Linked DNA regions of Oreochromis niloticus. The protein of the gene in region 1 purifies or fractionates together with the protein of each later gene. This does not show direct contact. Links are inferred from orthologs where the notes say so. Each region holds a gene or a part of one and is shown on either strand. Other genes may lie near its edges. The genes, in order: mpdz and plekha2.

What was found.
Region 2: the proteins of mpdz (region 1) and plekha2 purify together in Homo sapiens (affinity purification with western blotting; 3 studies listed by BioGRID and IntAct, with this or other methods). This does not show direct contact. The link is inferred for Oreochromis niloticus from reciprocal best matches to the Homo sapiens genes MPDZ and PLEKHA2.

Annotation. Positions count from the first base shown.
Region 1 is NC_031967.2:13,315,442-13,327,790, forward strand, and holds the start of mpdz (multiple PDZ domain protein), read right to left. Parts: upstream 4,783-12,349; 5' UTR 4,480-4,782; intron 1,316-4,479; 5' UTR 1,272-1,315; coding exon 1,256-1,271; intron 1-1,255. UniProt on the Homo sapiens protein: Member of the NMDAR signaling complex that may play a role in control of AMPAR potentiation and synaptic plasticity in excitatory synapses. Promotes clustering of HT2RC at the cell surface.
Region 2 is NC_031977.2:17,643,116-17,655,584, reverse strand, and holds the start of plekha2 (pleckstrin homology domain-containing family A member 2), read right to left. Parts: upstream 5,208-12,469; 5' UTR 4,862-5,207; intron 2,386-4,861; 5' UTR 2,366-2,385; coding exon 2,225-2,365; intron 2,096-2,224; coding exon 2,039-2,095; intron 1,641-2,038; coding exon 1,592-1,640; intron 1,462-1,591; coding exon 1,364-1,461; intron 255-1,363; coding exon 123-254; intron 1-122. Other genes in the region: uncharacterized protein si:ch211-113d22.2, read right to left, coding at 7,463-7,680, 8,220-8,333, 8,692-8,740; transforming acidic coiled-coil-containing protein 1, read right to left, coding at 10,710-10,778, 11,760-11,880, 11,975-12,081, 12,462-12,469. UniProt on the Homo sapiens protein: Binds specifically to phosphatidylinositol 3,4-diphosphate (PtdIns3,4P2), but not to other phosphoinositides. May recruit other proteins to the plasma membrane.

The DNA.
Region 1 (12,349 bases):
TTATCTCTTTAAAACCTCAGCCTGAGAGGTCTATTGAACTGCTAATGCTGGCATAAAGTTCAACATTTGGACTCGTTACTTCCCTCATAAATGAGTAATGAGGGAATCAACCTCACCTGCCAATGAAACTGTTTGTCAGTCAAATGTCCAGCAACATTTGAACGTCTGAAAATGGGGTGCTATGTATAAAAATGACGGTGATTCCTAAACAGTTAATGCAAAACTGTTGCAAAACCCCTTGAATTAAAGTTAAAAGTCTGCACTTCAGTCACATCTTGACTAATTTAATTAGAAATCCACTGTGACTGTGTACAGAGGCAAAATCACAAATAATGCGTCACCGTCCAAAAACCTAAGGACCTAACTATGTGTGAGTTTGCAGAAGAAAAGGTGGTCCTTGAGCAAAGCATAAGGAGTCACAGATATATCAGCCAAATGTGCTAATTGCCATAGACCTACTGGGAAAGAAGATGACATTTACCAATGGCAGGAATAATGAGCTGACTAAATGTTTAACTGTAGAGTGATAAAGAGTTGAAAGACTTTAAAACAAGCTTCTTTTTTTGTGGAACCCAACCAATAAATCTGTATTTTCAGCCAAAATTGACTTATTAAGGATCTGGAGCTATATGAAAACTCTGATTTTGGTTTTTAATAATAACGCAGAAAAGATGCTTAGGGTAATTTAGAATTGGTGTTATCAGTTTTTCCAGCAGAGCAGCGCCTGGAGCACACGTATTCATCACAGTTCATCATTTGCAGCTGACAAACACACAGTCAACATTCCCGTCCTGAGAGTGACCACAGATTGCTGTTTTAAAGAAAGAAGCTGGCAGCACCAATTTGGCATCATGCTTGACAGTTGGGCAAATAAATCTCTATGGGCACAAACAAACAATCAAATTTATGGCAACATTATCAGATATGGCAACATTGGCAGCCCACGGACATTGAACTGAATCCAGGGCCTCTTACGCTGGTTGAGAAAACTCTCAGCTTAAGCCAAATGTGCAAAGCACAGCCAGCAAAGACGGACACCCAAGCCCCCGTGCAAAAACTGCTCATTTTAAAAGGAAGATTTTCTCTTTTTTTGATTATGGCAGTGTTGAATCTTAATTAAACCGAGTACTGGTACTGGATTCAGAAGTCTGCTATCATGACCACACTCAACCCTAAAGCTGGTTCAATCATGGATGAAATCATGAATATTTTATAGATGCCTGGCATAAAACAATTTAAAAAACCAAATACTTACCCATTGTTTCTATCATTTTTAGAGCGTCGGATGAATGTGTAGCCTTCCCTTCATCAAGGCCTGAAAATGACAAATTCAGTATTTAATGTCTTTTTGTGAGCAATCAGAGAACTAAATATTAGACCACTAACTCACGCTGTTTTCTTTTATTTTTAACTTCCACAAAGCTCTCAGAGCAAGAAAAATGGCTCATCCTCCTCCTGGGTTCTCCTCCCAACTTACACATTTTCTGTTCAAAAGATTAACATTAAAAAGAAACTAGATTTATTTCATTTCTGTTAGGTCCATATTTATCTCTGAAGAATGCTTCACTATGTGCATCAGAGTACCATTGTGCTGAAGAACTGTCCCAGTTTGTCGAGTCTCTCGACAAACCGGCTGCCAGAAAAGCGCTTCTACTCAAGCTTCTTAGTTCCCTTATATTCCACTAATGCTCTTATTGATGAATAAATACCAAGTAATTTACATTCCTGAAATTTCATACAGCCGGTATTAGATGAAGCTTGAGTATCCATTTTGCTCTTATCAGATAAATATCATCTTACTTCATACAACCCTGATAATTAATTATCCTCTCACACAACAATCTTATAAGCTGCTTTAAAACTAGCACAACATCCTGCTAACATGACAATTTTCATATTTAATTGTTCTTCATTTTCTCCTTATAAATTAAAAGTTTACACTGACTTTTTATTTGCACTGTTACTTAGCTCATAAATGAGTGTTTAAACTGTTGGTCAATATTAGGAGTGGGGGGTGGGCGAGCAGATAGAGCACAGTATTGCACTAATTTAGGTGGTGATATTGTATTAGTTCTGCGACACCAAAAAATAAATTTTTATTAGCTAAAATAAAATTCTTTGGGGACGACTACAAACAAGATGGATCATCTCATGCAACACCAATCTGAGATAATGTTAACTGTGCAAACTTACTTTACACTGGCTCGACCAAACTTGTGATTGTCCAGAGCTTGAGGGTAAGGTAAGGTGATAGCACAGGTCACCTGATACGAGGTAACCTTTCTGCAAATAGTTGCAGTCTGACTTGGAAGGACTGCAATCACTCTCAGAGAGATTGTCAAAGGTTTGCAAATAATTGCTGTCTAATTTACAGATAGATTGAGTCTCTGTCAATGAGCACAACGCGAGAGGACTCAACTCAACTGGCTGCCAGCTGCTTGTATTCTTGTTATATTCCCGTAAAACCGGAAGGCTGCTGAATGCAGAAGACATAGTTAAATGTTTCTGTCTCTGCAGACTGAAACAGATATGTGTTTATCAACAATTTATTACAGTTAATTGCTGTTTTATCAAAGTCAGGTTGCATGTAATTGCCAAATTGACCCAATCAATCGTAGACTGATATCAGACTGATGGCACACTGACCTGGTCTTATGGCAACATTAATGGCAGGTTTTAGTGACAGTGTTGGTGTTTTTCAATATCACTGAACAGCAATACTACGGTGGTTACCACTGGCTTTTATAATGTCTACGGTAACACACAGCAAAAGAGAAAAAATGCTTATGTTTTGCACACAAAAAAATTACCTAAATGCATACCTGATTATTAAGTAATCAGCTCATGTATTTATAATTATTATTTTAAACTCCCTAAAAGCTGCTTCAGTAAATCACCCTTTCTATTGACTGGTGTCATCCTGCTCACTGTTCCTTTCAGACACACACATTTCTGACTATTTTACCTGGAAAAGTCTTAATTTACCAATATTTCATTGTACCATTGTGCTTGAAATCAAAGTCTCATTTTGCACAATGGGTGGATTCAAACATCTATCTGAAGTCTGGCTATTTGTTCTATCTAATCTGTCAAAAAATATATCTTTGTGAAACTGACTGTTGCCTTGGAAAAAACCCTGTTACCTTCAAAGTGCATGCAATCAAATCAGAAAGGCAAGAGAAAGAAGGAGCAGTGACTCCTCTACTGTGTAAACAAAGCCAGTGCCAATAAGCTCATAAAGACTCCCAGTGCCTTGATACTTTAAAGCTTTAAAAGCTAACAGCAATGCATGATGAAGGTGATCATGTCGTTTGTATTTGACTAATTCTTTTAAGGAGTGCTCGCTAACAGAGCCCATGCAGGGAACATCACACTTGGCTGCGGAGAGTGGCTTTGTAAGCAAGCGTGATATGACTCAGGGAGACATTACACGATTAAAGGAGATTGCTCAGACAATTAAAAGCCCTGTATAGACTCTCAGAATAGCTGCAGTATCTGTGGCAAAAGGATCACCACAGCTCTGGTTTGTTTATGCATTTGCTTCACTCATCACTGCATGTGTCCTACCCTTTATGCTGAGTGATGAGCTAGTATGTTAGCTGTGTATTTCACTCATGTAGTGATGTATTTATGTAGTAAATCTGCCTTCACACGCACCTTACAGTCACTTGTGGCAACAGTAGTATACTATATGTGTTTTTTTTTTCAATGACATATGTGGTTCAGTGTCTGAAAGTAGCTTTACCATTCCTTAAGGATGCACACACTATAGTGGTATGCAATGAATCACAGAAGGCCGGAGGAGCTCATTAGCCGCTATTACACAGTAGATATCAGCCTCCAAAAAAAGTAGTTTAGCTCCATGGGTAGCATTTCCTTGCGAAAATAATCATTTGTGAGGTTTGTGGTGAGTAAAATTAGCTAATAAGAAAACGCTGTTATTTTATCGCGGAGTTCCTCCAAAATCAAAGAAATTAGCACTATGCCCGTGTTATTTCTTGTTAATAAAGCGTTTAGTACGTCGTATTTGTTTAAAGCTGGTATATTCTGCCCAGGTTCGGTGGTGTTTTGAATACAGTCGACAAGGCACTCGGGACAATCCGATTTTCTCAACCCCTCCTCCTCCTCCTCTTTCCCCATCTCATCTAGCAAGAAAGCAACAGGCTTCCGACGCGGAGACGGGAAAGAAGTTACACACTATCAGGGCTCTGTACGGCCACAGGAAATCGCCCAAGCTGGCTTCTTGTAGTATATATAAACACTTTTACTTGAAAAAAAGCCTCTTGGATCTATTTAAAGGCAGTCTGGTGTGGTTATGTGACCAACCGCTACAGAAGACGTCTCACAATATTTTCCTCTAATTAGCGACATTAAAGCTAACAAAGGGGGTCTCTAGCTTGAGAAAAGCTGAAGTTAGTACACATTCGAGACTTCAGTAACGTTTCCTCAAGCGAAACACGTTTAAAGAGAGTCACTTACATGAGTGTGGACGCTCTGCTTCCCCGGCGGCCAGTATCTTGAGCTATCCTCTGTTGTCCTGCGGCTAACGGCGCACTGACTGGGGCTTAAAGATGGGGCGTTGAGTAACTCGATCCTCTGTGGACACTTCCAGCGATAGCCGCACCGACAGTTCAGCTGGGGCTGAAGCGCCGCTTGCTGGCTGCCCTGACAACTAGGCCCTACATACATGGAAGAAGCCCTGGCTGCCGTGTAGGGCCAGAGCTAAAGTCCCAAAAACAAAGCAAACTCACATAAACTTAAACTAGGGCAGGGATGTTAAACTCGGTTTACATTGCGGGCCACATTATGAGCCTACTGTATGATTTTAAGGAGCCCGGATCAGTGATACCCCCCTTTTCCGTCTGTGTAAATCAGTTTAAATGCACACTTAAAAAGAAGTGCAATTTCAACAGTACACTGAAGTTTGTCTGCAGAACAGAGAAATCCTGCTCCTGTAAATGAAATAAATATAAATTGTAAGAAATAAATGTGTAAAATTAGCTCATTTCTCAGATTAAACTGTGATTATAACACTTTTTGGGGGGGTTATTTAATAGAAAAGGATCTTGTTTCAATTACTGTTAGAAAACCCCCAGAAATTTATATAGATTTTTAAAAAACATGAATCTTTCTGTTATTTAATTGCTTATGTGTTAGTTTGGTGTATTATTAATGAAAACAAGGGATGTCTTTATCACTAGGAAGAGCTGTAAAACTTTTCAAAATACAGTTTAAAGTCGAAACTTTATGGCCTCCCTCAAATTTTCCAAAGCTGTCCAGTGAGCCAGATCGGAGTCTTTGCTGGGTGAAATTTGGGAAGGGGTGAGAGGGGTTGTCTATAATGGACATTATCTTGGCTAGCATCCTCTCACACATCACCTCTATGGAGTCTAGGGGCTGGCCAGGATGGAGCTGGCCCTCTTCACCAGTCTATTAAGTCGGGTAGCACTTTGGCAGGAGAAGGCATAGATGCTGTAACAAGAGAGACAGAGGGGCATGAGGGGTTAACCTGGCCTGCCTATAAACCGACGTTTAAGTGGAGAAAAGACAGCAGAAAACAGCTTTCCAACTGCTTTCATGGGGCAAACAACAGGAAATTACAGATAAATCACGGCAAAACTTTCACAGAAGGTTATTCTCTGAAAAAAGTTGGCCTGGGAGACAAACACACACAGCCCAGCGATTTTGTCTGAGGCAGTTAAACTTGGCCCTTAAAATTATTACTTTTGAGGAACACCTGACCTCAGCGACCTGAACGTGAATCACAGGTGCAGAAGTGTATTTGTTTAAGTGCCCTTGAGCAAACACAGTCTCTAAAATGCATAAAATACACTATAAAGGAAGCGTAATATTGCTCTCATTCATATTACATATATTGAAGTTACCGTGAGGCCCATCCCTACCATGGCTGGAGCCCGGGGATGTATTTGTCTTAATAATTCATATTTTCTCTGCATTTTTTTATATGCTGCACTAATTATAAACGATTCAGCGAATTGTTGGAACGGTTTTCAGTCAATCCAAAGCATTTGTGTGAGAGTCCAATCAACAGGGCAGTTTATGCTTCTAATTAAATATGACTCCCATGCACTGCAAGCTTGTTAACCACATACAGCTCACCCACACACTTATGCATGAATACTTCATGCTGCCACCCACACAAGTTCATGCAAAAGCTAGATATTTGTCTAATATGCATTTAAGTGTAATGAACAGTATACTCTGTGCTTTTATTACTTCACAAGATGATGTGATTTTAACTCAATATGCAGAACATTTAGTAGACACGAGAAAAGAACTTGTCATCTGTTAATTGTGACTCAGATCTAGCAGCACAACAGAAATGTAGTAGTGCTGTAATTTGCATTGTTTTCCACGTTGTTGCAAAGGAAAAGCAACTATTAGGCACTGGCTGGTCAAGAAAGCCTCTTAATACTATTTCTGCCCTCTCCACAATTGCTTTTATTTTCATGGATCAAGACCTCAGAGGAGAGCAGGAAAGAACAGGGTCAGTCTGTAAGAAGTCATTTCACCAACAGGGAGAGGGATACAAGCTGCTTTCAGGGAGCTGATACTGACTAAATCCCTTCACCATTTATATCTTTACTTCCACCTCCCTGCTTATCCACCCTGTAACTCCCCTCTTACTCTGACAATAAGCCACTTTTATGTGGGAGGTCTGACTCAGCCAAATGCTGAAAAAGACAAGAGATTGAAACAAGATAGAAAGGAAGAGAGGGGGAAAAAAACATCTTAGCTCAGTGTTAAGCAGCTTCAGCATTTTATATTTTTATACCTGCCTGTCACAGGCCTTCAGCATTAGTCATTGTTTGAGACAGCCTAGTTAAATCTGTCATAACTGGATTCAGATCTCTTTTTCTCAATACTCTGAAAAAGGATTATTTTAGCTGCATTTAACTGTTTTTTGGACCAATTCGGCGTTTGCAAAAGTCACGAATCATCCCTTATTTCCTTATATTTTGCTTCCAAGGAGCCAGGTTTTATTGCCCTTGAGCAGTAGTTCTCCAGGCTTTCTGAAGGTCTGTCAAAGTTTATCTTTGGTCACGGGCTGCTTTTTACTCATTTTCAGGTAAGCTTGAATGATTCATTGGTCAGTGTTAAGTGACTTAACGTTAACTTATGAATCAGAGCCATGACATACAAATGAAAAAGGCGCCTAACTCTAGGGAGTGTCAACCAGTGCTGTGTATACACATAAAAGACAGTTTACCAAAGGAACAATTGCTAGCACAAAAACAGATGATTTGTTCACATTTCTTTAGTGGACTCTATAAATACTGCCGAGGATAACACAGTTTGACAGGCATCAAACAGTATTTTTGCATCAACAGGATGATTCCCAAAGAGATATTAGCTGAAAACGTGGCATATTTTGGCACAGCACCTCAGAAACTGGACAAGTGGAGAATAGAAGAAAAAGTAGCAGACCTAAAAAGTTATCTATTGCAAATGAAGAGTATGTGAAAGCAATGTCCTTAAGAAAAAGGTGTGAAAAAGACAGCAAAGAGTTGACACGGGACATGAGAGATGCTACTGGACCTTCAGTTGATCCGTCTGCTGTTACTGAAGCCTCATCAGAAATAGTCTCAGTGGAAGAGTGGCTGTCAAGAAGCCTTTCTTAAGAAAGGGAAACAGGGAGAAAAGCCTGAGATATGCCAAATTACACAACAACTGGACTGAAAATCAGTGGCAACAGGTCTTATGGAGAGATTAATCCACATTTGAAATTTTGGGTTCAAATCATTGTCAACAGAAGCACTATGATGGGTTGGAGCTGCATTTCAGTCAGTAATGTTCAGGGATTCAAATATTATTTACAGAAACAATGAATTGGAAACATAATTACACAGAAAAGTACAGTCAGATTTTGATCCACCATGCAATACCATCTGGAAACGACTGATTGACTTCATTTTTTAACATGACAATGATCCCAAACACACTGCCGTTGCAGTAATACCATACCTGGATAGAAAAACACACAGTGGAACATTATCAGTCATGGATTGGCCTCCTCAGAGCCCGGACCTCAACGTTACTAAAGTGATGTGGGATCCTCTTGACGGGGAACAGAACAAAAGGGAGCCAAAGAAGAGCTTTGAATGTCCTTCAAGAGGCCTGGAGAACTATTCCTGAAGACTGCTGAAAGAAATTATTATTATTTCACATTTTCTGAGCAAAAGAAAGTTCAAGTCAGTTGTTCAGTTCTGCATTTTATACAATTTATTATGATTAATATTAGAGTTGGTGTAATTTCTAGTACAATAATCTTACACATATAATAATAAACTCCCGGTTGTGTTGGGACCAAAGTCTATCTATGTGACTATATGTGACTGTGATAACAGTAACAAAGGTACTGGCACACTTAATATCCATGTTAACATGATTAACACTATTACCAACATATATGTTGTGTGAATAGTATGCAGAAAGCTAATACACAGTACTTTGCACCACTTACGTTCACACAGCCTGATTGCAATAGACTGTAGAGATTAATGCGACGAGTGATTATTCAAGAGCGCTGTGATTCAGCTATACAACAACATTTTTAAAATTTACAGCAATTTCCTCTACACTGCACGAAAACGACACATTTTCATGAAAAGTACAACTTTCTAAATATCATGTTTTATTGGAAACACACTTGCTATATGAAGTCATATGGTGTAATAAAAAAAACACCCTGAAGGAATCACAAATTCAGTGTCTGAATCATATTGGCAGAGTGAATGCTGGTATTGTTTGTCTTGATTTATTGCCAATAAATCCATCAACATTCAAATAGCCTTTGGAACAAAATTTTCCCAAACGGTATAAAAAAGCTCACGGAAAGATCTGAAAGTCATACTTTTATTTTTCATATTAAAAGGTCTAGCCTGAATAATTCACTAAGTACTTCTGCAGTACTCTATAATACAGCTTCTTGACCACAACAGTGGGAGTGCGTGTTGGGTCAGTGCTAGTAGATGGCAAAACAAAAGGAAAAGACTAGAAGATTTAAGAGTTTTAAAACTAGAAGGTTGTCTTGATGATGGCCTTGCAGTAGGTATTTCTAGTCTTGTATCAGTAGTTCCTCAGGGTCAGAAAACTGAAAATTGAAAGTTTGGCCTGATATTGTCGTCGAGCAAAGGTCACATGAATCGTAGGAAATCAATAAGTCTGGTCCTGTTGGGAATGTGAATGTGCAGATGGAATTTAATGCCGGTCTCGGGGCTACTTTTGAAGATTTTAGACACTTTGAGAGGTCGTTTTGTGTCTTGGAGGGTTTAGTCAGAAGGGAAGTCATAGGGTCACCCAAAAATCAATCGCCCTCTGCCACTTGAGAGCATGAATGTCCGTGGCAAATGTCAAGCCAATCGAGACATAAAATAAAATCAATTGAACAGAATTTTTTTTAAAATGACTGCTGAACTGCAACCCTCGCTTTTCTCTGGTATTCAGCACAGATCCGGGTCAGACATGTAATACTAAAGTAAGAAAATTGAGTTTACAAGACAATGGCGGTATATTGCAAGTACAATATAATCAATAAAGAGCTTTACGTGCTATGAAAGATTAGGCTATATTATTTCAGAATTTCAATGTGCAATAACCAACAGTTGTGATATGAGTGAACGTGATTAGTCATCAAGTATCTTCAATGTGTGAGAGCATCTGTGCCATTACTTGCTATAAGTCGTTGATTGCTAACCCGACCTGCTAGCTTATTACCGACAATTTATTGCCTTCATCGTCTTTTCAGCTTTCTGTAACGCTACACTAAAAGGAAATTACAACCTGCATTATGTGAAAGAGCTCTGAGAGAAGGTAACAGACAGATGAGTCCTCAATATCTGACCTCAGGGAATCTGACAGCTGAAATTAGGGCCTTAAGCTCATATTTCACAGTGTGTACTGCTCTCGGTTTCATTATATAGCATTGAAGGGCTTCTGAATGCACTGTGAGTCACAGCAGGTGAGGTGAGCAGCTATAACGTTGAATGAATGATGTATTAAATGTCCACTTAGTCTTTAAAAGCTAGCGTTGCTCTGTTTCGAAGGGGGAAAAAAAACTTTGGATAATTTATATATGACCAAACTGCGCCTTTCACCAAATGTCTTTATATTTGCACCTATTATTGTATTTGATTGACACCGTCACAGCATGCTTTTCACTGTGTTAAACTGCAAGTCTTCTTTGAACAACTCTACAGGTGGTTTGACTACATTCACTGCTGTTATGAAGGCATGTCATACAGACTCTATCCGGCTGTGACACATTATATAATGTTGCCTTTAAAACTGGATTTAAGTGTTCAACTTTAGGTTGATAACTCTTGGGTAATAGTTTTAGCCTTTGTCTTAAGAAAGATTTTCACATATTTTTTCTATTATAACTGAGATTATAAGAATTTAAACCCAAATCTTTTCTTGAAGAAACTTAAAATGAATAGTAGCCATGCTAACAGCTGCTTGAGGAGGCTATTTAGCATGCTAACTAGCATGCTAGTTAATGAGCGAAACATGCTAAATGTTTTAGCATGTTTAGCTTTCCTTCTTGGTTGAGCATATTTAATATGTATGTGAATTAGCACTAAACAAAAAAGTACAGTCGATTTAGAAGGTTGACCTTTAAAAAAAGAACCCAGTACGTTGGAGGTTATATTAAGTATTTATGGCTCTAATGTAGCTTTGTGTTAGCTGGCACATGACTAGCATACAGTATCTTAGAGGATGAGATGAGAGAGTTAAGCTAATAATGCTGCCTTTTAAGGTAAATAAAACACTGTGGATCCAGGCGTTTGAATATTTGTCATAATTTTTAAAGCCAAGTTACACTGATGTGGCTTGTATTTGCGTCTAAATCACTTTGTCAGCATCTTATTTTATCAGCATTTTCACACCACACTTTTAAGGGAGATGATCAAGGAGTTGCCTGTCATGATGATGATAAATAATGTAGTGTTGTTTGTTGAAAAGCTGAGGAAGTAGCTGCCATGTGGCATGTGTGACAGGGTATAAAAAATGGTTCTTGTCAAGAATCTCTAAGAAAACTGCTTTTTAACTGATCTTTTATGTAGCGATACACATGACCACCTGCTTACAGTAAGGCGACATATCTAGACAGCCACTTAAATTTTGAGTATGAGCCTATAGAAACACAACAAACTTAATTTCATCAGCTTCTAAATCAAAGCCAGATGTGCTAGCAAACAGATGCCTAGTTTTCACAGGACTTTATGCAGGTCTGTGAAAGACTAAGTGCACCACAATTCAATAACTTGTAGTAGCCATTTTCTGTATGACTTTATCAGTTTCTCACACTGTTGTGGGGGAATTTTGGCCCGCTCTTCTTTGCAGTGTTGGTTCATGTCATTGATATTTGTGGGTATTCATTTATGTACAGTTTCTCTAGAGGACCCACCACAGTATATCAATCAGGTTGAGGTCTGGACTTTAACTGGACAACAGCATATTTCCTTTTTCCCCCAAACATTCTGTTGTAGATTTGCTGCTGTTTTTAGGATCATTATGTTGTCCTACGTTAGCTGTTGGACAGATGGCCTCAAATCTTCAGGAGTTCATGGTCAACTCGGTGACTGCAAGATTCCCATATCCCCTGGCTACAAAACAACCAAATCATTACCCTCCCACCACCATGCTCGATAAACATTTATGCTCATATGCTGTGTTTGGTCTTCACTAAATATGGTGCTGTGCATTATGGTCTAACATCTCCACTTTTGTATGTCTGTCCCAGGGACATTGTTCCAGAGGTCTTGTGCAGCTGCAACTTTGCAAACATAATCTTTGCTACCATGTTCTTTTTAGAGAGAAAAATCCTTCCAAGCAAGCCATACTTATTGAGTCTGTTTCTAATTGTGCTGCCATGAACTTTAACATTTAACATGTTAACTGAGGTCTATAGTCTGACATATAGCTCTTGGGATTTTGCAATTTCTTGGACCACTGCACAGTCTGACCTTGGAGTGAATTTGCTGGGACGTCCACTCTTGGGAAGATTGTGGAATTGTGTTAACACACACCTGAATGCTTCAGATCAACAAACTGTCAAAATTCTGCTTTTAAGCTTTTTTTTTCACATGAGTGTAGATGCTAACCTTCTTTGTTGTCTGGTGCTGGGCAGGTATTTCACCCATTTTATTTCTAGGAACAGATATCATACAATGTTCCACAGACAGAAGCAGTTTAAGTGACAGTTCAAGGGTTAGTGGAAAGGTTGATCCTGCTCATTTGTCCAGGACTGACTGGCTACTGGGAGCACTGGGAGAGAGAGAGAGATCCCAGATTAACAAAAATCCAAGTGCCAGTCAAACTCACA
Region 2 (12,469 bases), on another chromosome or scaffold:
AACCACCACTGTCGATAACTCAGACTAGCTTAGCACACCGCATTTTTGTGTGCTTTTGCCACAGTTTTGATTCTTATAATGCTAAAAAAAAGTGTGCGTGTGTGTGTGTCCTATCATTTTACCTGTATAGGAGTGTGCACCACCACGCCGCCAATAATCTCAGCCTTGTAGGCCTGTTGTCTCTTCCCTCCTTGAGCATCACTGATCACCGTGGTTACATCAGGCCTCACAGATGCAGGGCAAGACTTCGGCACCTGTGAACAGACGGGACACCTCTGAGAGCAAATAAAAGGACTTGATTGTTTAATTTCCACAGCCGCTCTTCCTCACTCTGGGAATACTGTCTTAGTCATACGCTCGCCACAACACCGTGACTGTTTTACTGCAGAGTTAACTGAAAAACACCTTGAATGTGATCGGCTGTGAAAGATTGCAAGCTTTCTCAAAGTCCACTGATGCACCAAGTGCAACCAAGTGTATCCAAGCAAATAAAGCCCACCAGACACACAAATGTTAGCGTGGGGTGTATAGCGAGTAGGGAGCAGGAAAAGAAAAACAGATTTGCAGGTGCATGCTGGTCATACAGTAAAAACAATAGTAGGGCTGTGTGATGCTGTGCTGCATTTTCTGCTTTTAGATCCATTATCTAGCCTACAGTTTCCCAAAACTGGCCAAACAGCTGAATCATCCAGCTAAATGTATAATTTCCTAATAAACTGCAACACATCTAGCTCAAACAGACAAATATGAAGAGATGCATTTTAATAACTTTACTTTCCCCCCCCCCCCCCCATGTGCTACTTTATCCCTGCAATTATATCATGATTTCCTTTTTTACACTCGCTCAGAAAAAGAAAAAGAAAAGACGAAAGAAAAAAAAGGCGGCAGAGCGGCCCTGCCCTCGATGGGGAAGTGAAAAAGAGTGAACAGTGCCGCTTCCTGTGTCAGTGAGCAGGTGAGAGAGGCAGAGAAACACTCTTCTCTGTTACCTTCCATCAGAAGACATCTGAATATCACTGATCAACGAGGCTCCTGGACATTTCATTGAGCTCACACAAATATTATGCAAATACATATGAACAAGTTTCGACACCTTCACCGCAGTGACGTTTGTGTTATCATTCGTTTTCTTGCACAGTTTCCTCATTCAGCAATGTGTGTGTGTGTGTGTCTGTGTGTGTGCGTGAAGGGGGATCTGTGGGCAATGGGCTGGCATTTGCAGCCGCCTGGGTCGAACTGGTTTCAGTCCCACCGCAGCAAAATTGCAGCTTCCTGCACTCAGGTGGAAACAACCCCCACCCCTCCCACCCCAACACCACCAATAACTGCTAGATCAAGCATTTTCTCATGTAACGGCACTTACTGTTATCTTGCTGGCCTTGTTGAGAGCAGCCACCCAGTCTCTCATGTCGGTCACATCATTGGCTTGCAGGAAGTACCGTCGCGAAAGTGCATTGATGACTGCCGGAGAAGAAATCAGTTCCGTGAATATCCACAATAAGTGGAATGGACAATATTATCACACATGGGAGATTATGTAATTTCGAACCATTTCATCAGCATCACTCTGTTCCTCCCTAAAAAAACTCACCAAAGCAGAACTCTGTCTTGGGCTTTTGCTTTGTTGTAGCTTCACTCACCTGAGGATAGAAGAAGAGAAAAGAAATGTGAATATAAACTGAAAGGAGTGAAAAAAAAAAACAGAGGAATTTTTGACATAGATCTGACTGAGTGTCCAGGGAGAAGCTGTCAGCGCTGCAGTGCAGAGGAGCCAGATGTCATTATCTGTGGTTACCTCAGTGAGCGCGCTGACATCTGGAAAACTTCACAGCGTCTGCCTCGGCTCTGCGCTGCATGTGACCGTTAACTAGAGATAACTCTGACCTCTTTGTGTATCTATGAACTCTTGCACGAATTTGCATGCTATTTGTGTGTAGTCTGTGAATTCTTGTGTGCTCGCATTTTAGATATCTAAGTTGGTGCGCTGGACTTTACTGTATGCAACCACACTGCGGAGTCAGTCATGAAAGTGGTTTACCTTAGAGATGTAGGTTAACTTCAAGCTGCCAACAGAGCTGGCTCCACTGGGCAGGTTCTGCATACAAACACAAATACACAGACTCGTCGTTAGCTCAGAGTCCAAGGTTATATGGCCACTATTGGTCAATTTCATTTCCTCTTGCTGTTTGTGAAAGTGTGGGTTGTGCATGCGCGTGTGGAGCACCTGAGGGTTGTCCATATACCACAGCAGTGCATTTCCCTGCGTGTCAAGGATGAAGTATCGTCTCTGGAAGCGGCAGCTGTTCTCCTTCTCTTCGATGTCCAGGAAGCCGCACACACGGTTCAACCGGTCCACGTACGGCATGCTGTCGATATCACATATCACTGAGGACAGACGGACAGTTAGGAAGAGAAAGACTCAAGTGAGATGGACAAAGAGAGACAACATGTGAAGGGAGCAACAGGAGGCAAAGACAGGCAGATGTGGAGGATAAATCATCTTTCATTTAGTGTTCAAGCGCACACAAGCATGCATGCGCGCACACACGCAGGAAGGAATAGACCACTCGCACTCAGCAGTTTTTCATGTGACGTGATTGAGGCTGTGCAGCAAACCCTGAAGCCTGAGGCTGAGCTGAGGCCCTCCACCACAGCCAAAAATTACAGACTGCACTCATGATCTGCACACACGCACATTTCCATTGGCCAGAGAAGAGAGAGGAGCAAGGAGAGAGGAGAGGGAGGAAAGGCAGGGAGCAAGGGAGGGAAGAAAGAAGATGAGAGGAGGGGGAGAAAGCTGGTGAGATGTGTTCATTGAAACGATGCCATGCGTGTGAATCACCGAGCTGCTGACTGATTCCTCAACACAGTCGAGGCTCATTCAGCTCAGAGAGCCTCAGTTCTATAGACTTTCAATTACATTTTATCAATTGGCAGACATCTCATAGTATTTATTTTTCTAATGGTTGACCACAAGGCTTCTGGCTTCATTTATATTCTTGTCCTCCTTAAGTTGCCAAAGGAACTTTCACTGTTGACGGTGCCTCTTTTGCATCTCTGTCGACTTAATGTGAAGTAATCACAAAGACAAACTCCAAAGTTGGATGCACCCAGTAAAATAAATAATCACATAAATTAATAGATCCATTTGGAAGATCCTTACTTTACCAGATTCGAATCTACGGAAAAACTTGAATGTAATGAGGCCACAAAGGTAATATGATGGCAAACTAGGCCACATCTGTGACTGATCTTTTTATACAGGACCAAAAATTATAACGTGACAGTCATATAAAATACATAATCAAGACTGAATGGCCGTGCGCCCTGCCAGTACTTTTTTTACGGGCTCGTCCTGGCTCGGAAGCCTTCAGGAGATGGAAATTATCAACATTTCCATGAAAATATTCAGACAACCCACTCAGAGGAACAGAAGACAAACACAGACTATGTCTTCACCATGCCGATGACTCTCCAGTGAATCTATTTTTGAGTTCATGGGTAAGAAAATGTTTCATTTTGAAACTGCTTTGAAAAAATTAGTGGGTTGTGCTTCTGATGTGTTAGTCTGCTGCTATTTAAATAGGTCAAAGATACAGAAGCGCTCTGCAGAAAGTCTTGTTGTAATGGAAAAATGAAAATGATGCCACAGAGGTCAGCTCTGACAGTAGCACAATCCCCACACATGCACCCATGTGCACATTAAACCATTTTGGGCATCAGAAAACATCTGGCTTAGCCATTATAAAGACAAGCAGCGGCGAAGCTGTGGCATCTTTGGCAAAACTACATTGACAAATGTCATTTCAACTGTCTTTACATTTCTATCAAGTACCTTAGCTTTGAAACGTGGCAGGATAATATACACAGAGCAATTATCAGTTTGTGTGCAGGAAAACAGAACGTACAGATCACAGCAGCGATATTAGTTGACTTATACCACATCCAAGGTAATGAAGTAAAACCCACCTACAGCACCTTTACATATCTGCTTCATCTGTGTGCAAGCACAACACAGTCTGGCAGAAACTGATAGTAAATCTCTTAGACCAACCTGTGGCATGTCTGAGAGGTTTAGTCATGTTCTTCTTAATCGTTGGGGGAACTTGTTACAGACTTATTACAGCACTGTAGCATCTTTTGTTCTGCCTGGTAAATGCTTTACTTTGTTCTCAGATTTATCAAAGTTCACCCCAGAGCTGCTAAAGACAGGCTCGGTAGTTCTTCCTCTGGCATTTGAGTTAACTTGGAGGTGTGAAAACGGTGAATAGCTCTTTAATTTAAAAAAAAAAAAAAAGTACAAATAAAAATACAGTTTGTTGTGTCATCAAACAATCTTCACCCAAGTAGTTTCCACACTCCCTACAATCACTTTATGTAAAATTTAATAAATAAAATGATCTTAAAGGATTATACAGAAACAGAAATCCGGATCTTGAAATCCGGAACACAACTGGGGGGTTTTCGTGTAGTCTATTTTAAGATGTTTGGCATTTTGTGGACCAGTTAATCGAGCAAATCGTTTAACTGACAGTAAAAGCAGCTGCGTGCAGCACGCCCCTGGATACCAAGCTTGACTGCCATGCGCGTGCATTTCCAACGTGATTATGAGCATGCAATGAAAAGTGTCAAAATGTGATCAGGCGCAATTACTCAGCAACACCTGACAGACATTACATTTGTTCAGCTCAGATGACCTGCACTGACTCACCAGATCCAACGACTCAACGGCCAGCCACACCTACTGTACCACACGCCCGCGCGCAAACACACACATACATACATACATACATACATACATACATACATACACACACACACACACACAAAGTCAGAAAGTACCCCTGTCGACTTAACTTACCCGCTATGGAGAGTCGGCGTGCGCCAAAGCCAGCGCCCCGCAGGGCTACGAAGCAGCGGAGAGAGACACGAGTTTGGTGAACAGGAGCATGCTAAATAAAGTTTTAAAAACCTAAAATAAGCCGTGGATATTCGCAAGACCGGCGTGCGTGAAACTCCGACACCCTCTTCAATTTGTTTGTGTGATCCGATTACAGAAGACTTGTCCTTTTTTCCGGGTTGGACGTTTCGTTATTAGAATAAACCAGCCCCGGATGTGATCTATGCGTCCCCTGAGCACAAGCAGGGCTCTCCTCCTCCTCCTCCTCCTCCTGTCTGCTGCTGCTTTAATCTAAACAGGTCTTTTTTTTTCTCACACACACACACACTCTCTCTGCTTTTATCTTCAGTTTTAAGTTGAAAAAAAAAAGTGTGGCAATTTTGAGAGCTGGGACAAACACGAGACGCACACGCTCAGATGAACCCGGTAGTTCACACAGAACAGCTGAAAGGGAAGGGAGTGTAAACCTGGATAAACAGGAATACAAGACTCATAGTGTCATTACCGCTGGTAGGTGAGGCTGACAGGTGCGAGATGTTATGCCAAAAACAGTTGGTGCTTTAAAAATATATATAAAGTAAACCTAAAGTTAAAGGTTCTCCACCAAAAACGGGGCTGTTGTTCAAATTTAAAGATACTAACTGCCTCACGGGAACCTTTTAAAATGCTGTTTCAGACGCTTTCACACATTAAAAAGGAAAAATAAAATTTATTTCACCGTGTAGGTGTAAGTGTATTTGTTGATAGATTTCCTCTGCAGACCTTTAACCCCATAAGTTCTCATGTCACATGACCATAGTGTCATCAATAGCAGCCGCACGGCTGCATGAAAGTCCTGCATTATTTAGATAAAGAGAAAACGGTCGGTTATGCTGATTAGTGCGTGCTATTGGAAGAGTTGAGTCTTGTAGCTGCATGTGATCCCGTGCAACAAAAATATGCAAAACATATTCCATGAAAAGCATTTGTGGTTATCAGACTTATAATTTACTAACCTTATATCCCGAAGCACGACCTCTGAACAAAGCACTAGTGTAGCCCAGTGCTATCAGAGACAAACATCCAAAGTTAAAGAAGACGCATCAAAAGCAAATATATGCAAGTGTGGAGGAGTTCAAGGTTGTCAGTCAAAGGTGTTCATGGAAATTCAGGCTTTAAACTTATGCAGAAAGGATCCTTTTTAACACATTACCTTATTGCAGTTTCTATGTGAACTTAAGTTGAAGAGCTGATAGATAAAACTTTAGCAAGTATCTTAAATTTGTCTAACTTGCAAAACAGCAACTTCAGTGTTAAATGTTGGGTAAAATAATAAGTCATCCATCTCACATTGCCACAGGATGTAAAGAAACTCAGGGTATTCTAATAAAATGCTTAAAGCCTGCTTTATTCCACCTTTACACAAAAGTGACCACAGTTTGAGGTCTAAAACTCTTAAGTGATAAAAAAAAAAAAGAGGGCTTAAAAGATGAACTGACCTGACCTCTCAGTTTCAACACCTCACTGTAAGTTTAGTCAAGATTCTGGTTTTAAGGTTTTCACACATGTAAAGTCTCTGCTGGATCTGAGCATGACACCTTTGTAAGTGCTGAAATAACAAATATCTACATTCACAGGAGGGATTCTGTGTTCACTTTTCTTGCTTTCGGCAAAATTGTGTCCTCCTGTTAAGAGGAAGTGGTTGCACGTCATATGACCTGCCTCAGGACGGAGACCTACCTCACTGATTTCATATCCTGTGGCGACTGCACAGAAATTAACTTACAGTGTTGCAAAAGGAAGCTTTGAAGTTTCAGCAGACCCTTCTGTTACTGCTGAAAATCACAGACTGAAGGTTTCCTTTACTGTACAGAAGACGCCCAAGGTGTGCTTTTACATCAGACACATTAACAAAAACAAATTTAGTGAGGAGCAGTGTGTCAAATGCCACACCAAGGGTACCTTAGCCACAGTTTACCATGCACTGCACCCACACACGAAACGAGGGTGTGATTAGGTCTTTATTCAGACAAGCTTCCATACAGATAAAATAACAAAGCATCATCACAGACAATTTCAAACCTTTTAAATCAGTTTCAGATTACCGTGCGAAAGAGATTCGTTTTGTGGTTCTATGGTGCGAAGCAAGCTAGCTGTGCACTAAACTAGTGAGGCACCCCAGCACTTAGTTACCAAAACCACACCCGAGTCCCCCCCCCGGGTGCATCAGAGCTGTGAGCTGTTCTTAACTTTGTACACATTTATTCACCACAAACACTCCCCAGGTTAAAATCCTCTTAAATTCAACAAGCTGCTACAGAGAACGAGGTTACTGTTTGAGAGGATGATAACTTAGACAAAGGAAGCTGCTTTAAAGCAGCTTGTACCTGCAGAACAGACCACACTCCCTTCCACCACAGCCGTCAGAAACCCTCGTCGAAAGACGATATTTGTCTCAAACCACATGAAACTCTCTGCAACTCAAATCCCTTTTTTGAACTTAAAAATAAAACAGATAAAGAGGAGGTGATGAATCACTGGAAGGAAAACAAAACAAAAAAAGGGAGGAGGAGGTGGAGGAATTTACAGCTGACTCAAGGCCATACGCAGCAGCAGGGCTGTGATCAGCAGGACTGGGCTGGAAGAAATTGCCCCTGTGCTGTTGGGATGACCACCGTGGCTGTGACTCTTGTGGGGCCCGTTACAGTCATCGCCAAAGCAGCAATGCATCTTGGCTCCGGAGGTGCCGCTGTTAGCCTTCTCACAGAAGGCCTTGTATGTGCACGACTTCATAACCGTGTCTGAAAGAGATCGGGTCAGAGAGGGTGACGGGTAAGTTGTGTTGAAGTAACTGAAGACTTTCCAAGCACGCAAATGAACACACACTTAAAAGATGTCATGTGACCAATATGTGAAAAAAACTTTAGGTCATTTTAGTGCTTAGAACATCATCACATGCATCTGATCTGTTACAAATTCACTCTGTGAAATAACAATCTCAGATTTTTGTTACCAACAGAAAAAGGTCTTGCCACAGCCCCTTCAGAAGACTACATGCTAAATGCATGAGAAAAGAGAAGCAGCTAAGTGAGTTTTATGAGTTTGTGGTTTATGGATTTTAATATTGACTTTAAAAACTCTTTTTATGGAAATGGAAACTGTTTGAGCACTATTTTAAGGACCGCTGGTTTCCTGAATCTGTGACACAATCAAGCAGTGGGTTGTCAGTGTTGTGCTGACCTCTAGTGAGGCACTACTGTATCCAGCCACATCATACTGGTTTTGCTTGTTTTTCTGTGTGTGTTTGTACATGTATATGTGTGTGTGAGTGTTTACTCACTGGGCCCTGTGATGGTGGAGCAGGCATCAGCATACTGAGGACAGGGGGTGGAGCCCTGACGGTTGCAGTCTTCCTCATTGGACGCCACGCATGTGTGACATTTGAGAGCATGGCCTTCACAGACAGAACAGGAGAGAGCGCCTGGCTTGAGACTAAGCATGCATATTCAAAAGGTGGCTGCAAGCATGCAGATATGCAACCACCTTCTTATTAGTCCATTCAACCGTGCACACACACACACACACACACACTGAGCAGAGTATCCAGCTTCTGTCGTCTCCTACAATTTGAGGCTAGGGAACGTCTGCACACACTCAAAGCAATGTATGTCCAACAGACAGTAAATAAAATATAGTGACTAACCTCACTAATACTATACATTTGCTGCAGAGTAAATTCTCCCAAAAAAGTGGATTCTCTCCAACACAAAGTTTCCAATCAGCAAAGTTGATCCCTTCTCCCAAAAACTTACCGTGGCAGGCCAGAGAGATGAGCAGCAGCAGAGCCAGAGCAGTCTTCATGGCAGCAGGGCGATGGGTCACTGTGTCTTTTCAAGAGTCCAGAGAAAGAGTGGATGAGCCGAGATGAGCGTCTGATGGAGGAGACACCGGAGGTTGAGGTGGAGCTGGAGGGGAAGGTGTCTGAGGGCATTAAAGTCTTATCGCTGTAATCTCCATCTATGATGCACAGCCAGCATACTGCTGTAATTGACTTAAAGCAAGCTTTACCAGGGGGAGACACGGTTAGAGTTTGGTGTTATTAACAGAATTATGAGGTAATTTGTTTCTTTTTCTAACTACTAAAACTTTTTACAGCGTGAATATAAAATGTAATGTATGTGCAAGATGTAAACGCTGTGCATCGTAATTAGCAGCGAGTCCAAAGCTGCGGCCATCATGTGGACACTGACACAAACAGAGAACTCAGACAGGAAAACAAAAATCAAACATAGCAGAACAAATTATATTTAGGTTTATTCAGGAAGGATGTACAAACGCTCAAGTTGCTTCCACACAGGAGTGAGATTGTCATTTCTAATTCACAAATATATATTTAAATAATTAAAGGGGCTAAAGTTACAAAGCCAGTTAAGTTATCTGACATTAAGTTACAGTAGTGACTGACCAAAAAGTACCAACACCAAAATGAAAGGCTTATATTTTTAGTTTATGATAAAACCTGAATGAGCTTTGATCTTTTCACACATTTCTTTTGTTTTTCTAAAAGAGAAAACTTTTTTTCGGTATAATATGGGCACCAGCTCCAATTTTACTGTTGTTGCGGCACTGTGCCGATCTAGTTTTTGTTGGTGTGCTAAGGAAAAACAGTGTGCATTCTGAAAAATGCAAAGATGTGAAAGTAAACATGCAATAAACTGATATTTTTCTGTTGCATTACTAGTGTACTGCTGTAAACACAAGCAATAAGGCTCACATGTTCATCATTGCACATAAGCAATGGAAAAAAATGCAAAGGTGTCAAAGTCTGAGAGATAAATGTGAATTAGTGAGCAATCGGTGACATACTGACAGTTAAACAAAAACTGTTGACAGACAGTACAGCAGCACTTAAAATCATATAATAGCCTTTAGCCTTCAGCTGACATACAGAGTGACTGTTTTTCTCTTTTCCAGCTGTTCGCGATCATTAACACCAGTTAGTTTTGTGTTTATGCACACAGGATGAAGCCATCAATGTTTATGTGATTGTCAGGTTATTTTTTTTTTTTACATATAAAGTGACTGATTAATATTCTGCTGCTTTTTGAATTGTCCAGCATCCCAAATGTGCCGCCGTCTGAATCAGTTTACACAAATGATATTAATTATGTGCAGCTTGCTTTCAATATCATAACTGAACAAACAAACAAAAGCTTCTGTGGGCTGCTCTACTTCCTCAAATGATCCTAAACCCCTTTCTTCCCGTTTTGTGCAGCTTGACTTTAACCTTGACCTCATTCAACCCCGACGAAATACCCCTGAGCCTTCCTCGGTGAGCATAAAACCCACGTTTGCTTCATAGAAAAATACATTTTATAGACTGCTTCTTTAATAGAAAATATTCCTTCTACAAAACCGAGCTGAAATGTAACTTAAAACAAATCTCGACCTAGATTAAATCTGATGTCACCCTGCATGAGGAGTTGCTGGGAATTTAGCGGTTAAGCTGCTGGGAAAATTTAGTTGAGTCACAAGCGAGCTGTTGTTCGCTGGAATGATTGACAAAAGCACAAGGGCTCCAGATGGCCTCAAAATGGGCACAAAGTCAAAACAAACTAAGATAATCACACGTAATTAAAATGTATAGAGCGTTCTTGGTTCCTGTCACATGTAGTGCAATCGTAGTATACAAGAAGTTACTTTAGACGTCTGTACATAAGCAGGCTCTGAGATGCAGGGCAGGCACAGGGTATAAGAACTGCTTCAGGGCTGAATGCATGCACGGGGCCAGAGGAACGGACAATCATGGTTGATTCCCATAAAGAAATCCTCAGTCTGTTTTTCCCATTTTGGCAATCAGCTCGTCACAGATTTTTGTCAGTTCTTCGATCTCTTGATTCTGTAAAAAAAACAGAATAGAGGAAAGTAAGTAAATACCATCTAACCACCAAAAATGCTTTTTTTAAAACTCAGCAGCACTGTCATTTGCCAGAAATCCTGACCTAGATACCCAGAAGAAAAAAAAAAACACAACAAAAGTTTTCTTGTAAGCAGTTTCATGTAGGAACAAATTTCTATTTAGCAGACTTCACTGTAGAAGGAAGTGGCTCGTGATCGTTCAAGTGTGACAAGCTGTAACTAAACTTTCATGGTGTGCACCTCAGCTGAGCTGCAGCGCTAGCCAGCTGCATGATCCCTTTAGTTTAACAAATACAAGTGCAAATCATATGTAAATATTGTTTCTTTAAGTACGCTCATTTGGAAATGATCCAGCCCAAGTCCAGACTATTTCTTTGTACCACCTCAAACATGTATTTTGATGGTATTCAAGTGCCAAAAAAAACCATTTTTGGCTTTTCCCTTTAGGGGTCGCCACAGCGGATCATCTGCATCCATCTCACCTCATCCCTACTATGCACCTCTGTCACACCACCCTTCTGCATGTCCACCCTGCCTGCACTCTCTTCTGCACTGTCTTATTACTGTATTATTGTGGGATCGTGTATTATTGTAGGGTGTACCTTACAATATAAAGCGCCTTGAGGTGACTGTTGTTGTGATTTGGCGTTGTATAAATAAAAGTGAATTGAATTGCATTGTCTATTATTTGGATCGCTGACCCCAGGTTAAACTCATCCACCTTCACCATCTCTGCTCCTTGCAGCTTCACACCTGTCTTGCTTGCTCTTATCTCAAGTGCACACATCCACCTCTCCAGACTCTCTTGCACCTGCTCCCTACTCTCGCTATAGATGACAATGACTTCTCTAAACATAATAGTCCAAAGAGCCTCCTGCCTGACCTCCTCTGTCAGCCTGTCCATCACTACTACACACTAAAAGGGTCTCAGAGCAGATTTTGTATCCATGATGCAATTCACCTTCTGCTGCAGGGCTTGTTCCAGAGACTCGTTCTTCATCTGTTCCTTCCTCAGGCTGGCGGTCATCGCCATGTTTTCTGCGCTCGCCTTTGCACGCACCTGAGCAATCTCCTCATTAGCTCTAAGAGATGCATGAAATGAGAGATAATTAACAGAAACTGAATCTGTCCAGTGTTTAGTTTCTTATGGTAGTTTTATATTTACTCTCTACATACTTGTCCAGTTTCTCCTCTGCATGCAGCTTTAGTGTTTGGTATCTCTGCTCCTCCTGCTTGACTCTGGCCAGATACTCTTGTGCACACTTCTTCAACACCTCTTCATTCTGCATGAGGAAACAAACACAGTGCATCTTATCAGTCATCTTTATCGTGTATGCTTTTGTTATTCTAATTCTTCCCTTAAATCGAGTCTTTAACTAGAGTAATGCCCTACACTGCAATTTAACACGTCTACACCTAGAAGTCTTTCCAATACTACCACATAAAGTGGGGACTCTATTTAAGTCCTGGATCAAACTGAGGTAAAGATTTCAGCATACACTTGGTTTTTATGTGGCATCTGATGAAGATGGGAACCATGAAATATTGATCTAAACCTGTGTTATCACTCTTAAGACCACTGCCCTTAATCACAGGATACCATCCAACCTTATTCTGACCTTAATCCTCTTACAATCCTCCAATTTGTGCTACTACCCCTTACTTTCTTAA